2 linked regions of the Macaca mulatta genome follow. The protein of the gene in region 1 interacts with the protein of each later gene in a pairwise test. Links are inferred from orthologs where the notes say so. Each region holds a gene or a part of one and is shown on either strand. Other genes may lie near its edges.

The links.
Region 2: the proteins of NR1H2 (region 1) and NPY interact in a two-hybrid assay, tested with the Homo sapiens proteins (3 studies listed by BioGRID and IntAct). The link is inferred for Macaca mulatta from reciprocal best matches to the Homo sapiens genes NR1H2 and NPY.

Annotation. Positions count from the first base shown.
Region 1 is NC_133424.1:62,763,402-62,770,550, forward strand, and holds the start of NR1H2 (oxysterols receptor LXR-beta), read left to right. Parts: upstream 1-2,594; 5' UTR 2,595-2,739; exon of another isoform or gene 2,740-2,743; intron 2,744-2,881; 5' UTR 2,882-2,989; exon of another isoform or gene 2,990-3,008; coding exon of another isoform or gene 3,009-3,230; intron 3,231-3,755; coding exon of another isoform or gene 3,756-3,774; coding exon 3,775-3,817; intron 3,818-3,902; coding exon 3,903-4,040; intron 4,041-4,326; coding exon 4,327-4,617; intron 4,618-4,700; coding exon 4,701-4,978; intron 4,979-5,183; coding exon 5,184-5,363; intron 5,364-5,951; coding exon 5,952-6,051; coding exon of another isoform or gene 6,052-6,078; intron 6,079-7,149. UniProt on the Homo sapiens protein: Nuclear receptor that exhibits a ligand-dependent transcriptional activation activity. Binds preferentially to double-stranded oligonucleotide direct repeats having the consensus half-site sequence 5'-AGGTCA-3' and 4-nt spacing (DR-4).
Region 2 is NC_133408.1:104,095,459-104,102,550, forward strand, and holds the start of NPY (pro-neuropeptide Y precursor), read right to left. Parts: upstream 3,870-7,092; 5' UTR 3,860-3,869; intron 2,891-3,859; coding exon 2,703-2,890; intron 1-2,702. UniProt on the Homo sapiens protein: NPY is implicated in the control of feeding and in secretion of gonadotrophin-release hormone.

The sequences.
Region 1 (7,149 bases):
TGCCCGCCACCACGCCCGGTTAATTTTATATTTTTAGTAGAGATGGGGTTTCACCAAGTTGGTCAGGCTAGTCTCGAACTCCTGATCTCAGGTGATCCACCCGCCTTGGCCTCCCGAAGTGCTGGGATCACAGGCATGAGCCACCACGACCAGCTGTCTCACTCGTTTGCAATTTACAGGCAAGGAAACTGAGGAGCGGGGAGGTTAATGAACTGGGCTCAGTGTTACACAGGAAGGAAGGGACAGAGACGCCAGGTTCTGCCGTCTCCAATGCTCATATTAACCACTTGTTTTGCTTCTAACATCCCTGGGTGGAAAATTCCACAATCTCAAAGGATGGGCCTGAGTAGACAAAATAAGTTACAAAAGAGCATGGATCACATAGTCCCATTTCTTTTTTTTTTTTTTAAAGGCATACACATATGTCAGAGGCATTCCAACCACAGAGATTCCGTCTTGAATAGGAGCTTGGTAAAATAAGGCTGAGACCTACTGGGCTGCATTCCCAGGAGGTTAAGGCATTCTTAGTCACAGGATGAGATAGGAGGTTGGCACAAGATGCGGGTCACGAAGAGCTTGCTGATAAAACAGCATATGCACTAAAGAAGCCAGCCAAATCCCAGCAAAACCAAGATGGCGATGAGAGTGACCTCTAGCCATCCTCATGGCTCATTATACACTAATTATAATGCATTAGCATGCTAAAAGTCACACCCACCAACACGATGACAGCTTACAAATGCCATGGCAACATCATGAAGTTCCCCTATATGGTCTAAAAGGGGAAGGAACCCTCAGTTCTGAGAATTGCCTACCCCTTTCCTGGAAAACTCATGAATAATCTACCCCTTGTTTAGCATATAATCAAGAAATAACTGTAAGTATAATCACAATGAACAGCCCAAGCCGCTGCTCTACCTGGAGGAGCCATTCTTTTATTCCTTTATTTTTATTGTATTTTATTATTATTATTATTATTCTTTTATTTTTTGAGACAGTGTCTTGCTCTGTCACCCAGGCTGTACTGCAGTGGCATGATCTCGGCTCACTGCCAGCTCCGCCTCCCGGGTTCACGCCATTCTCCTGCCTCAGCCTCCCGGGACTACAGGCACTCGTGACCACGCCCGGCTAATTTTTTTTTTTTCCAACAGAGACGGGGTTTCACCGTGTTAGCCAGGATGGTCTCGATCTCCTGACCTTGTGATCCACCCGCCTCGGCCTCCCAAAGTGCTGGGATTACAGGTGTGAGCCACCGCGCCCGGCCAATTTTATTTTTGAGACTGAGTTTCGCTCTTGTTGCCCAGGCTAGAGTGCAGTGGCGCAATCTCGGCTCACCGCAACCTCCACCTCCACCTCCCGGTTCAAGCGATGCTCCTGCCTCAGCCTCTCCCGAGTAGCTGGGATTACAGGCGCTCGCCACCACGCCCGGCTAATTTTGTATTTTTAGTAGAGACGGGGTTTTTCTATGTTGGTCAGGCTGGTCTCAAACTCCCAACCTCAGGTGATCCGCCCACCTCGGCCTCCCAAAGTGCTGGGATTACAGGCGTTTGAGCCACTGTGCCCGGTCTGAGACTGAGCTTTTTTAATTCTTCCAATCACCAAGTTATTGAAACCATTTTTGCAAAAATCTTAACAATGAGAAAATTCTGACATCTCAAATCTGGCCGGGCACAGCGGCTCACGCCTGTAATCCCAACACTTTGGGAGACCGAGGCAGGTGGATCACCTGAGGTCAGGAGTTCAATACCAGCCTGGCAAACATGGTGAAACCCCATCTCTACTAAAAATAGAAAAATCAGCCGGCCGTGGTGGCGGGCGCCTGTAATCCCAGCTACAAGTGAGACTGAGGCAGGAGAATCGCTTGAACCCAGGAGGCGGAGATTGCAGTTAGCTGACATTGCGGCATTGCACTCCAGCCTGGGCAACAGAGCGAGACTCCATCTCAAAAAAAAAAAAAAAAAAAAAAAAGTAAAAATAAGCCGGGCGCCGTGGCTCACGCCTGTAATCCCAGCACTCTGGGGAACCGAGGCGGGTGGATTCGAGGTCAGGAGTTCGAAACCGGCCTCGCCAACGTGGTGAAACCCCGTCTCTACTAAAAATACAAGAAAACGAGCCGGGTGTGGTGGTACATGCCTGTAATCCCAGCTACTTGGGAGGCTGAGGCACGAGAATCTCTTGAACCCAGGAGGCGGAGGCTGCAGTGAGCTGAGATTGCACCATTGCATTCCAGCCTGGGGTGACAGAGTGAGACCTCTCCAAATAAATAAATAAGAATAAAATAAAACCAACAAGCAGCAGGAGTCCAAAATCAGAAAACAAAGCGCAAACGTGCCTTAAATCAGTCATGTGCGACAAGCAGCTATAGTTAGGGTTTGGCCGCTGGCTCAGAGAAGCGCATCAGTGAGCTAAAGCCACAAAGCGCGGGGCTGGAGGTTTGGCTCCCAGTTTCCCCTCTCATCCAAGAAGCGAGGAAATGGGTTCGGAACTCTTCTGCCAAGTCCCAGTAGATCTACCCGGTAAACTTCCGGTGTTTCCAACTTCCGTGCGGGGCAGCAGCTTCGGCTGGTCCTAAGCGGGCCGGAAGTTCGTCAACATTCACGCTCCGCCTCTTTTCCGGACGTGACGCAAGGGCGGGGTTGCCGGAAGAAGTGGCGAAGTTACTTTTGAGGGTATTCGAGTAGCGGCGGTGTGTCAGGGGCTAAAGAGGAGGACGAAGAGAAACGGAGCAAGGGGACCCAGGCAGGTGCACCCGAGAGTGGGGAGATGCGGGAGGAGCCCCGAACCCGGGGCTTCTCGGCGCTCCCCGCTTACTCCGCTCAGCCCCCCTCTCTCCTTCCATTTCCTCCCCTCCGTAACTCGCGCCTCCCGCGGCTGTTTCCAGGGCAACAGGAGTAGTTCACTCCGCGAGAGGCCGTCCACGAGACCCCCGCGCGCAGCCATGAGCCCCGCCCCCCGCTGGTGCTCGGAGAGGGGCGGGACCTGGAGCGAGGTGCGGGGGCGGAGCATGAATGAAGGAGGTGGGGGCGGGGCATAATGGGAGGCGATGGGGCGGGACCTGGAAGCGCGGTGCGGGGGCGGGGCATGAAGGGAGGAGGCGGGGCTGGGGGCGGGGCATGATGGGAGGAGATGTGGCGGGGCCTAGAGCGAGGTTGTAGGGGTGCAGCGGGAAGGGAGGAGGCGGGGTGGGGGCGGGGCATGATGGGAGGAGATGGGGCGGGACCTGGAGCGAGGTTTTAGGGATGAGGCTTGGAGGGAGGGATGCGTATGGGGCGGGGCAAGGTGTTGGGAGGCCCATGATGGGGGGCTGTAGGGGCTGAACCTGGAAGGTTGAAGGCGGAGCATAATAGAAGGAGGTGGGGTCAGAATGAGAAATTGGGATGCTTGGAGGAGAAGTGAGGCGGTCTTATGAAGAGGAGGTTGGGGGGAAACTACATGGGATGGAGACCGTGAAGGCAGAGCATGATTAAAGGAGAATGGGCCCTACCTAGAAAGAGCAGGTGGATTGGACCTGAGGGGGCGGGGCCTAGAGCAGGGGCGGGGCTTAAGACCAAGCTGAAGGCTGGGCTGGAACAGAAGGGGGCGGGTCCTGTTAGAAGGATGGGGAGGGTTTGTAGGCCAGCAGGAACCAGGGTTGTGGCTGAGAGTAGGGTCTCTGGAGAGATGGAAGTAAAAGTGGAAACCCGGTCAGGACCTGTAACTGACCTAACCCAACCCTTCTTAGCCCCACAAGGCTCTCAATCCCCTGTATTTTACAGGCTGCTCCGTGACCCCACCATGTCCTCTCCCACCACGAGTTCCCTGGATACCCCCCTGCTTGGTGAGTGACTCTCTTCCCCACTCAACCCTTATCACACACTAGCAGAAGCTCACTATTACCCCTCCCGGATTCCACCCTCTTCCAGGAAATGGCCCCCCTCAGCCTGGCGCCCCTTCTTCTTCACCCACTGTAAAGGAGGAGGGTCCAGAGCCGTGGCCCGGGGGTCCGGACCCTGATGTCCCAGGCACTGATGAGGCCGGCTCAGCCTGCAGCGTGGACTGGGGTGAGACAGGGCCCAGAGACAGGGCTCTGGAGTTGACATGGGGGCTTGGGGAGGGGTTTAGGAAGGGAAAAAGAAATGGAGATGGGAATGGGAGGCCCCTGATCTTTGCTTTTTGTTCTCGCTTTCTCCTTGATACATACATCTTTCTAAATTGCAATATCCCTGAATGTGAGCAGCACCTCCTCTCCATCCTCTGGCGCTTTGCCTGGGGATCTCCTGTGGCCACATCATTCTGGTTCCTGTTTCTCCCTGTGGCTCACTCATGGCCTCTGCCTACCCATCCCAGTCATCCCAGATCCTGAAGAGGAGCCAGAGCGCAAGCGAAAGAAGGGCCCAGCCCCGAAGATGCTGGGCCACGAGCTTTGCCGCGTCTGCGGGGACAAGGCCTCCGGCTTCCACTACAATGTGCTTAGCTGCGAAGGCTGCAAGGGCTTCTTCCGGCGCAGTGTGGTCCGTGGCGGGGCCCGGCGCTATGCCTGCCGGGGCGGTGGAACCTGCCAGATGGACGCTTTCATGCGGCGCAAGTGCCAGCAGTGCCGGCTGCGCAAGTGCAAGGAGGCAGGGATGAGGGAGCAGTGTGAGTGCAGTGGGAGGGGGCGGTGCCGGCCTGGCCCATTGGCCCAGCCCTGGGGTTCTGCTGAGGCCTGCATCCCCCTACAGGCGTCCTCTCTGAAGAACAGATCCGGAAGAAGAAGATTCGGAAGCAGCAGCAGCAGCAGTCACAGTCACAGTCGCAGTCGCCTGCGGGGCCGCAGGGCAGCAGCAGCTCAGCCTCTGGGCCTGGGGCATCCCCTGGTGGATCTGAGGCAGGCAGCCAGGGCTCCGGGGAAGGCGAGGGTGTCCAGTTAACAGCGGCTCAAGAACTAATGATCCAGCAGTTGGTGGCGGCCCAGCTGCAGTGCAACAAACGCTCCTTCTCCGACCAGCCCAAAGTCACGGTACTGCCCCCTCCACAACCTTGAGTGTGATGGTCCCAGTCGGGTAGAGCCGGCTGGGCCATTGCCCAGGGTGTGGAAGAATGAGGCTCCAGAGGGCAGGGGCTTTGGGAGGAGGGTCCCCCAGGGTGCAGGCTTGGCCTCAAGGTGGCCGCCCCAACTTACGCTCACAAAGACCTGGGAGTGACCCTGGTCTCCTGTGTCCCAGCCCTGGCCCCTGGGCGCAGACCCCCAGTCCCGAGATGCCCGCCAGCAGCGCTTCGCCCACTTCACGGAGCTGGCCATCATCTCAGTCCAGGAGATTGTGGACTTTGCCAAGCAAGTGCCTGGTTTCCTGCAGCTGGGCCGGGAGGACCAGATCGCCCTCCTGAAAGCGTCCACCATCGAGGTAATGGTCCGTCTGCCCACAAGAAACCCCAGAGATAGCTCCAGGACAGATGCTGGGAGCAGAGTTTAAGCAAGACCAGTCCTTGCCCTTGTAGGATGACATTCCATGGCAAATAGAGTCTTCTATGAGCCAAGAAGAAAAAGAAAAAAGGGTCTGAAGCTGAGAAAATTGAGGATCAGGCCAGAGAGGCTATTTTAGAGAAAAGTTGCCAAAAAGGCTTTTCAGAGGAGTTAGCGTTTGAATCAAAGTAGGGATAACATACAAGTATTGAGCGCCTACTGTATGCTAGGCTCTATACCAAGTGTTGGCATATGGCAAAGAACAAAGCAGATCAAACCCCCTGCTCCTATACCTTGTGCCCACCTGGGGAAGGAGTATCCTAAGGAGAAGGGGATGCAACGTGTGCGAAAGCCCAAAATGAAGAAGGAGCTTGGGCTGTCTCACGTGATGGCTGCACACTGGTGTGGCTGAGAGAACGGGGGACGAGGGATATTCCTGGTGAGATTAGAACCCCATTTGGGCCAGCAGGGGAGGGACTAGCAGCCGAAGGGTCACAGGGCTTGAGCCCCCTCCCACTGCCACCCTCAGATCATGCTGTTGGAGACAGCCAGGCGCTACAACCACGAGACAGAGTGTATCACCTTCCTGAAGGACTTCACCTATAGCAAGGACGACTTCCACCGTGCAGGTAGGGCCCAGGGGAGGCTTTGGGGAGGCTTGGCCCCCCTGCTAGCTGGAAGACCTGGGGCCAATTCATCCCTGTCAGAGTCTGTTTCTTTATCTCCAAAGCCGGGGTGAGGGTTGAGCCAAGGTGAGAGCAAGACAAGAGTGTGTATGTCATGCGTGGTGGTGTGTGCCTGTCGGCCCAGCTACTCAGGAGGCTGAGGAGGGAAGATGGCTTGAGGCTACAGTGAGCTGTGATTGTGCCACAGCACTCCAGCCTAGCGACAGAAGAGACCGTGTCTCTATTTTTTTCAAAAAAAGCATGTATTGGCCGAGCACGGTGACTCACGCCTGTAATCCCAGCACTTTGGGAGGCTGAGGTGGGCGGATCATGAGGTCAGGAGGTCGAGACCATCCTGGCTAACACAGTGAAACCCTGTCTCTACTAAAAATACAAAAAATTAGCCAGGCGTGGGGGCGGACACCTGTAGTCCCAGCTACTCGGGAAGCTGAGGCAAGAGAATGGCTTGAACCCAGGAGGCGGAGGTTGCAGTGAGCCGAGATCGCGCCACTGTACTCTAGCCTGGGCAACAGAGCGAGACCCCGTCTCAAAAAAAAAAAAAGCATGTATTGAGTGCCGACTCTGTACAGTGGGTTGCAGTGGAAGTTGAGACAGAAGGGCCCTGTTACCATATCAGGCGTCTTGGTGGGCACTAGGGAAAGCATCCCCCCACCCCAAAACCTGGTCTCACCCAAGGGAGGCAGCCTGGAGCTCAGTCCATTGTGAAGTGGGCAGCCTTCCCTACTGTCCAGGAGCACTGCTTCCTGCCCTCCGAGAGCGCTACCTGGGTGTGTCGCCTGGGCGGGTGGGCTTCTGGAAGAAGGCCTGGGCAGTGAGAGGCACTGCCTAGGAAGAGGGTGGGAGGCACGTTGCTAGTGCTGCAGAGCATACACCGGAGCCTCGATTCCTCATCGTCCCGTAATCTGTGTGGGACCTCTCTGCATTTCCCGACATCTGTCTGAGTCCCACCCTCTCCCCTTCCTTTTACCCTGGCCCTTTCACCACCCAAGACGGTCCCAGTAACCCTTTTAGTATGAGCTTAGCAGGGCAGGGCTTCGTGGA
Region 2 (7,092 bases), on another chromosome or scaffold:
ACTGTTTTCTCCAATTTACCAGTAAAGAACCTAAATCTGAAATAGGAGGATTTGCACAGTCATAATCTTGCATCCAGTTCAGCATTGTTCACTCTTCTTCCTTCTTTAATTAATTCTGGATCATCCTTCCTCTCTACAATGCTGTAACTTTCAAAGATTGAGTCCTTAAAGATTCTCAAACCTGGCTGCACATTAGAATCACCTGGGGAGTGTTAAAAACACACTCTAAAGCCCAGGCCCTATGCTAGAGGGTCTGATTTAATTGGTCAGGGGTGGATCCCAGCATCAGTGTACTTTAAAAGCTCCCCTGATTATTTTAATGTGCAGCCAGAAAGGAGAAACACTAATCTAAGGCTGAGTTTCTCCGGGACTGGCTAGTCTTTGTAATGGGGGCTGTCCTGGGCATGGTAGGATATTTAGCAGCCTCCTTGGCATCTATACATCTAGATACCAGCAGCACCCACCTCCCGTTGTGAAAACCAAAAATGTCTCCAGATACTGCCAAATCACACCTGGGGAGCATAAAATCACCCTCAGGTGAGAACCACTGATTTAGGGGGCCATATAAGTAAATTGTAGGAGACCCACACTTTAGAATAAGTAATGCAGCTTCCAGAAGCAATGAGCCAGGGGTATATATACAGCAACAAGAATATAAGCACAAATTGAGTGTAGGGGGAACGGGGGTCAGGGCGGGGAGAAGAAAGATAATGATATCAGATTACATCTATAGTAAATTAAAGTACATCCACAAATGACCCTGTAATTTTCAGAAACACACATAGGAGTGGGTGTCTGTGGTGGGAAGGAGAAGATGGATGTATGTTAAGAGCCTCTGCTAGTTTCTAAGAAGGAGTTTACATGAAGGTGAGACAGGAAACTCTGCCTCAGAGACCAGCTCATTCACATCTAAGCTGAATCTCTTGCCATGAAACCTAAGTCCCTTTCCTTTATGTTTTTTTTTCTCATCAAACATGTTGGAGATAACACCGCCTGTTGATGGTGGTGACAACATCCAAAGAAACTCAAAGGAGGCCCCCAATTCCATAATTCCTATAAAAATAGCTTTCATGAAATGTCCTTAGCTTCATGATTTGTGAAATGGAGATAATTATACTCCCTTCAAAGCTTTGAGGTAAAGACTGAATGAGATAATGCCTAGGAAAATATTTTAAAATGCTAGAGCTTTGTAAAATTGTAAAGCTTTAGAGCAATCATCTTTGGAAAACTGAGTTCTACTGTATATCATGCTATAACTAAATAACTAACAAAGGTTTTTCTAGAAAAAACAGTTAACATATTTTTGTTTGTACAAGTTCTCTTTGATCTGCATGACAGCATAGCATAGCAAGAATTTGAATCAATTAACTTTCTGGGAAGTATGGAATATAAAATATTATTGCTTTTTGCTAATTAAAATGATCAGATTTCAAGGGATCACAAACCAATACTATTTAATTCTGGCATTTTCATGTTTTTCAGATTCTATATAAATTGGAGCTTTTTCAAAAGTTTTTTTAGGATGTTGAATACCTTTTTGATGAAACAGGAAAAAGCAAACTTGATTTTAGAAGTACAGATTCTCCCCCTTTTGGATCCTTTCCAACTACTCCCTGACTTGTAAACAGTAAAAATATGGACTAAATAAATAAATAAACCCCACAATACTTTAAACATATAATTTAAACATGTTAACTAACATTCATGCTTCTAAAGGGCTTATCCTTTAGATATGGTCAAATGATTAAAATAATTTAATCTTAGTAATTAAAATAAGATGTTAAATGATTTAGAGCTAAGATCAACTAATTTTGAAAACGAAATTTAAGTCCTATGTAATTTGTAAAATAGTTTGGATTTGATTTTTCCCTTAATTGTCAATGTTGAGAGTGAAAATGTGGCATTTCATTTTGACTTTCTGAATGTCCAGAATAAAGTTTACAACTTCTCAGATTCCATGTAATCCGTGGATTCATCCTAAAGTTACTGGACCAATGTAAGTTTCTTCTTAATGAAATACCAAGTGGGCACTTTCTTTTCAGAATTCACCAGCTATAAAATAGGGAGAGTCTGCATTTTAGATAAACTGTTTTCAGGCTAAATCTCTAATTACTGGGACTAGGATTTTCAAGTATGAGACTGAGACTGCAAAAAAACACAGTACAGAAGAAAAGAAAATAGCTCTATTTGTCTTTTTCTAAATACTGTCATTCAATTAGCCCTAGGCAGGCTGGAAAGTCTAACAATGTCTGGGGCAACCCTGCAGTTTACTCCTTGGTTTGGTTTTCTTTGGTGGTCGTTCTGTTTTTCCTAGACACCTTGCTAGCCTTTCTCCCTACAGCATTTCTCTGGCGCATTCTTGCCCCTTTCACTGGGTACTTTCGAGATTTCTGAACAGGCCCCCACTGCTGTAAGAACCACAACAAACCACAAGAGGTGAGTGAGAGGAGATTGCCAGCCTACCAGCCTGGGGAACCTGAATCTGGGGATCACGACTCTGTGACTATAGTTGCACAAAATGGAAGGTATCCATTTTGTGCGCAGTGTGCCCCGCACAAACATTTACCTGGAGCTGACTAAGAGCCTGATACTGTCCTGCCCTGGGATAGAGCGAAGGAAAAGAAACGATCCCTTCCCCTAACCAGGATCTCCTGGTGTGCAGGCACTGGCGCTCCTGGAGTCGGTCCCGCGGGCCCACCCACCTCTGCCTGGTGATGAGGTTGATGTAGTGTCGCAGCGCCGAGTAGTATCTGGCCATGTCCTCCGCTGGCGCGTCCTCGCCCGGGTTGTCCGGTTTGGAAGGGTACGCCTCGGCCAGCGCACCCAGGCACACGAGCAGGGACAGGGCGAGGGTCAGTCCGGACAGCCCCAGTCGCTTGCTACCTAGCATCTGCGGGCACAGAAGGCTCAACGGACGGGCTTGGGGATTCAGAGGACCCACGCGCAGCACCTCCCTCCTCTGCCTCCCGCGCTCCTCCTTCTGCTACCACCCGCGACCCCCAATCCGCTCTCGTCCCAGTCCCGCAGAGAGAACCCAGGCGTGGCTAGCACCACCTTGCGGACTCTGGGTGCCGTCTGGCCCGGACCTGCCCCTCTGCTCCACCTGAAAACTTCGCGCAACTTCGTTCCAAGTCTCGGGGACAAGAAGCGCGCGGCGAGAGGTGCAAGGTGGGGGCCCCGCCAGTTTAGACACTTTCAAAATCAAATTGGAAGTTCCTCCTGCTGGATCACTTTTCTCCCCTCTTGCCCAAACTCTTGTCTGGGAGGAAAACTTTCTTCTCTGTTACTTTTGGTCTGCCTAGCTTCAGGGGATCAACGCTGACGGTAGAGATCACCTCAGGGTGATGACTGCTGTGGCGAAGGGGGAAAAGAATTGCTCCCTGGGCCAGAATTGCTCCCAAGAGATTTGGAGCCCAAGAATCCAGGCAGATGGCAGGGCGCGGGGCTCCAGAGCGCCAGGGATTCCTCACTCGATGGCGCTGCCAGGGAAACCTTCCTACCGCGCATCTCTTTCTGGGCCTCAAGGCAGCGACTCGCAGGGAGACCGCCAGCTGCCTTGGGATAGGAGTCCCGGGTTCTCCCTCCATATCTGCCAAAAGGTAACTCAGAAGAACCGCCCAGCGGGAAGGGCCCGGGAGAAGAGCGGTGGACAATCAGAGGGGAGCAGAGGGACAAGTGGAATTTAGCCGCCAAGAGGGCTGGTCCGCGTCGGGGCGCCGAGCCGGCATAGTCCCGGCTGGGGAACGGGGTGCGACCCTCCCGGCGCCCTAGAGCTCCACAGAGCCGGAGGCTGCGCCTCTAGCAAGTTCATGGGCGCCCCTTCGCTCCCACCCCTAGACAAACGGGTCGTAGCACTCACGGTGGCTGGCGCGCGGGCGTGGCTGGGCGGCAAGTTCTCTGCTGTCGGGCGCGCGTCTCCGAGGGGTGAGAGCCAGCAGATGGGGTGCAGAGAGCGGGTCGCAACCGGGCTTTTATGGAGCTTCCTCGCCGCAGCAGGAGGGGCCTCGGGCAATCACGTTTGGGTGACTCCTACCCGCCACTTCCCGCCCCCGAGTGGCGGGGGGAGGGGGCTGAAACCGCAGCCGCACGAGTGTTGGCTTAGGGAGCCACCCACACCCCAACCCTCCCGCCCCAGGCACTGCCGGAAGAAGTGGGGCCCGGGACCGCACGAGGGGGCAGCGCGCTCCGAGCGCGCTGGACAACACCAAAGCCCAAGTGTCTCTCCTCGGGCAGTGCCCGATCCCTGCTTTTCTTCTTTCCTTCACGCCCCGTCTAGTCCTGCCAGAGATAGGAGCAGCCCAGACAATTCTTGTCGCCTGCCAACAGGACTTACCAAGCCACTGGGCGCCGGAGTAGGAAGCATCTGAATGCTCTTTGCGGTGGGACATCTCCAGGACCAGCGCGGCATCCTCACTGGGCACAGCTGCGCGCTTTTGGAGAGAGGCAACTGGGCGCACCGATTTTTCCTGCACTTAGAACAAGTCGGAGGCAGCTGCGGGAAGTCTCCAGCTAGAGGGTCGCAAAGCTGCCCCCCACTCCCGACCCCTCGGCGCGGAGCTGAGAACTGGTTTCATGGGCTTCAGCCCCTTCCCTCAGCTGGTTTTTCTAGGACATCAGCCTTCCTCAAGTACTCTCCCAGACGCAGTGAGCCAGGTTCGGTCTTGACATGAGTGTGGCGACTCAAAATTCCCCAAAGGGGGAACACGGTAAACCTTTTCCCCTAGTTTACTGAAAAAGAGCCACGCTTCCAGCTTCTAGAGACTCTTTTAAGCGCAATTTTTAAAATGGTTTTTTTTTTTTTTTTTTTTTTTTTTTTTTGGTCCAAAGTGACAGTGGTTAAATGAGCAACAGTTTCTCTCTTATTTGCTAACCCTTGTATAGTCCTATGTACATTCAATTAACGTTAATTGAGAATGTGGGTTCTGATTAAGTTGAAACATGTTAAAAACGATGAACATTAATTTGCTCATCGCGTTAAACCTGTTGAATGAATATGCAAGATACAGAAATTGTTATTACAAAATCAAGATTTTATGCAGTGGACTGAGATCTTAAAGTTCCGTGAATGAATGCTCCTGGATCTTTCTAAATAAAATGGCATTTTATTTCTAAATAAAATGAAAGTCTGAATCTTTCTAAATAAAATGGCATGTTGGGAAATTAAAGCATTAAGTTACATGTTACTTTAATGCTAAAAGGACAAGTGATTCTGTTAAGCTGACACTTAGTTTTGTGCTGTTCCAACAGCATTGAATTAAATATCAAAAACTGTGAAGCAAACAATCCTTTGTGTGTATGTGTTTGTGGGATCAAACTATAATTTTGGAGACCAACATCATTTCACTTGACAACTGCTTCTCTTTCTGTATTACACAAACACATGCTGGAAACACAAATATCAAGGCTTTCAGAGTTGCTTCGGGTGCTTACATGACAGAGCCTTTGGTAAAAGTGCAAAACATCTTCTAACTTAGAACCCTTCCTAGATAAAAGGAAAGTTACAGTCCACTTTTCAATAAAATAATATTATTTTAGAGTGTATCACAGATTCATATCAATTAAAATCTGAACTTAAAAGGTATCATTGAATTTGGGAGAAATTACTTCTAGGGAGGCCCACACCACTGTTGAGAGAAGAACACTGTGGAGGCTTGATTAATTTAGCTTAAGATAATGTTGTTGATACTCAAGAATAAGAACTTATTCTCAGGGTTAAGGATTTAGAGAATAAAAAATAGGGGGTGGTATGCCCTACACGTGTGTTTACATCCTTATCTCCTTTCTCTCCAGTCCAAGCCTCATCCCCTGCCCAAAATACAAACAAAATCAACTGTTTGCAACTCAACCCTGCATATTCTCCTAGCTCCTGAGCCATTTCTCTCCTTTGTTTCAAAGTCATTTATTTGTAACAGCTTTGTTAAGATACCATTGAGATACTATGGAGCTTGTTGAGATTCAAAAGGAGGTGAATCAGTGGAGACTAGAAAAGGTAATGATCAAGAGAAGTCAAATAACTTGTAAAGGTCCATGTGGTTTGCAATTAGGAGGTCTTACTGATAGCAAGTTCATAGCTTGATTCCGGTAGAACCCAGACCACATGAAAGCCAGTGGTTTCATGACCAAACCTAAGGTAAAGAAGCAGAGGCAATAAATAGATATCACTGAATATATACAAAGCTACAAATGTGTAAAATATTCAATTGGATATATTCTTACACATATGCATACATGTTATATGCTCAGGAAGCCATCATTGCAACCAAGAAAATGAAGATATGCATCACTTCCCCAAATTTCCACACGTACCTTTGTAATTCCTTCCTTTTGCCTCTTCCTCACCCCTCCTCCATTGATCTGCTTTCTATCACTAGAGATTTGTTTGCATTTTCTAGAATTGCACATAAATATAATTCCACAGTAGGTACTCTTTGTCTGACTTCTTTCACTTAGCATCATTATTTTTGAATCCACTCATATTGTTACACGTAGCAACAGTTTCTTCTTTTTTATTGCTGGGCAGTATTTTATTATATGATATACTTCAAAATTTTTAATCAATTCTACTGCTCATGAATTTTTGGTTATTTTCACTTGAAACTTTTATGAATAAAGCTGCCTTGACATTCATATTCAAGTCTTTTTATGAACATAAACCTTTAATTCTCTTGGAAAATACTTAAAACCAGAATGGCTGAGTGAGATGGTGAGTGTATATTGGTCCATAGTTTGTTGGTGATCTGTTTTTGCTTCTGTTTTGCTCAGTTCTTCCTTAATATTTTATTTTGGATACTGTCTATTGCAATGTCTTTGAGTTCACTAATCTTTTTTTCTGTAATATCTGATTTCTGCCAATGCTATCCAGTGTGTTTTGCACCTTATACCTGGTAGCTTTCATCTCTAGAATTTCAACTTGAATCTTTTTTTTTTAATTACAGGACAATATAAAGCAATGAATCTTTTTTATATCTTCCATATCTAAACATGTCCGCTCTTCTCTCTAGCTTCTTGAATATACATTAATAATAACTTTTGTACTACCAACATCTGTGTCATTTTTGTGTACTTTGGGTTGATTGATTTTTCTCCACATTA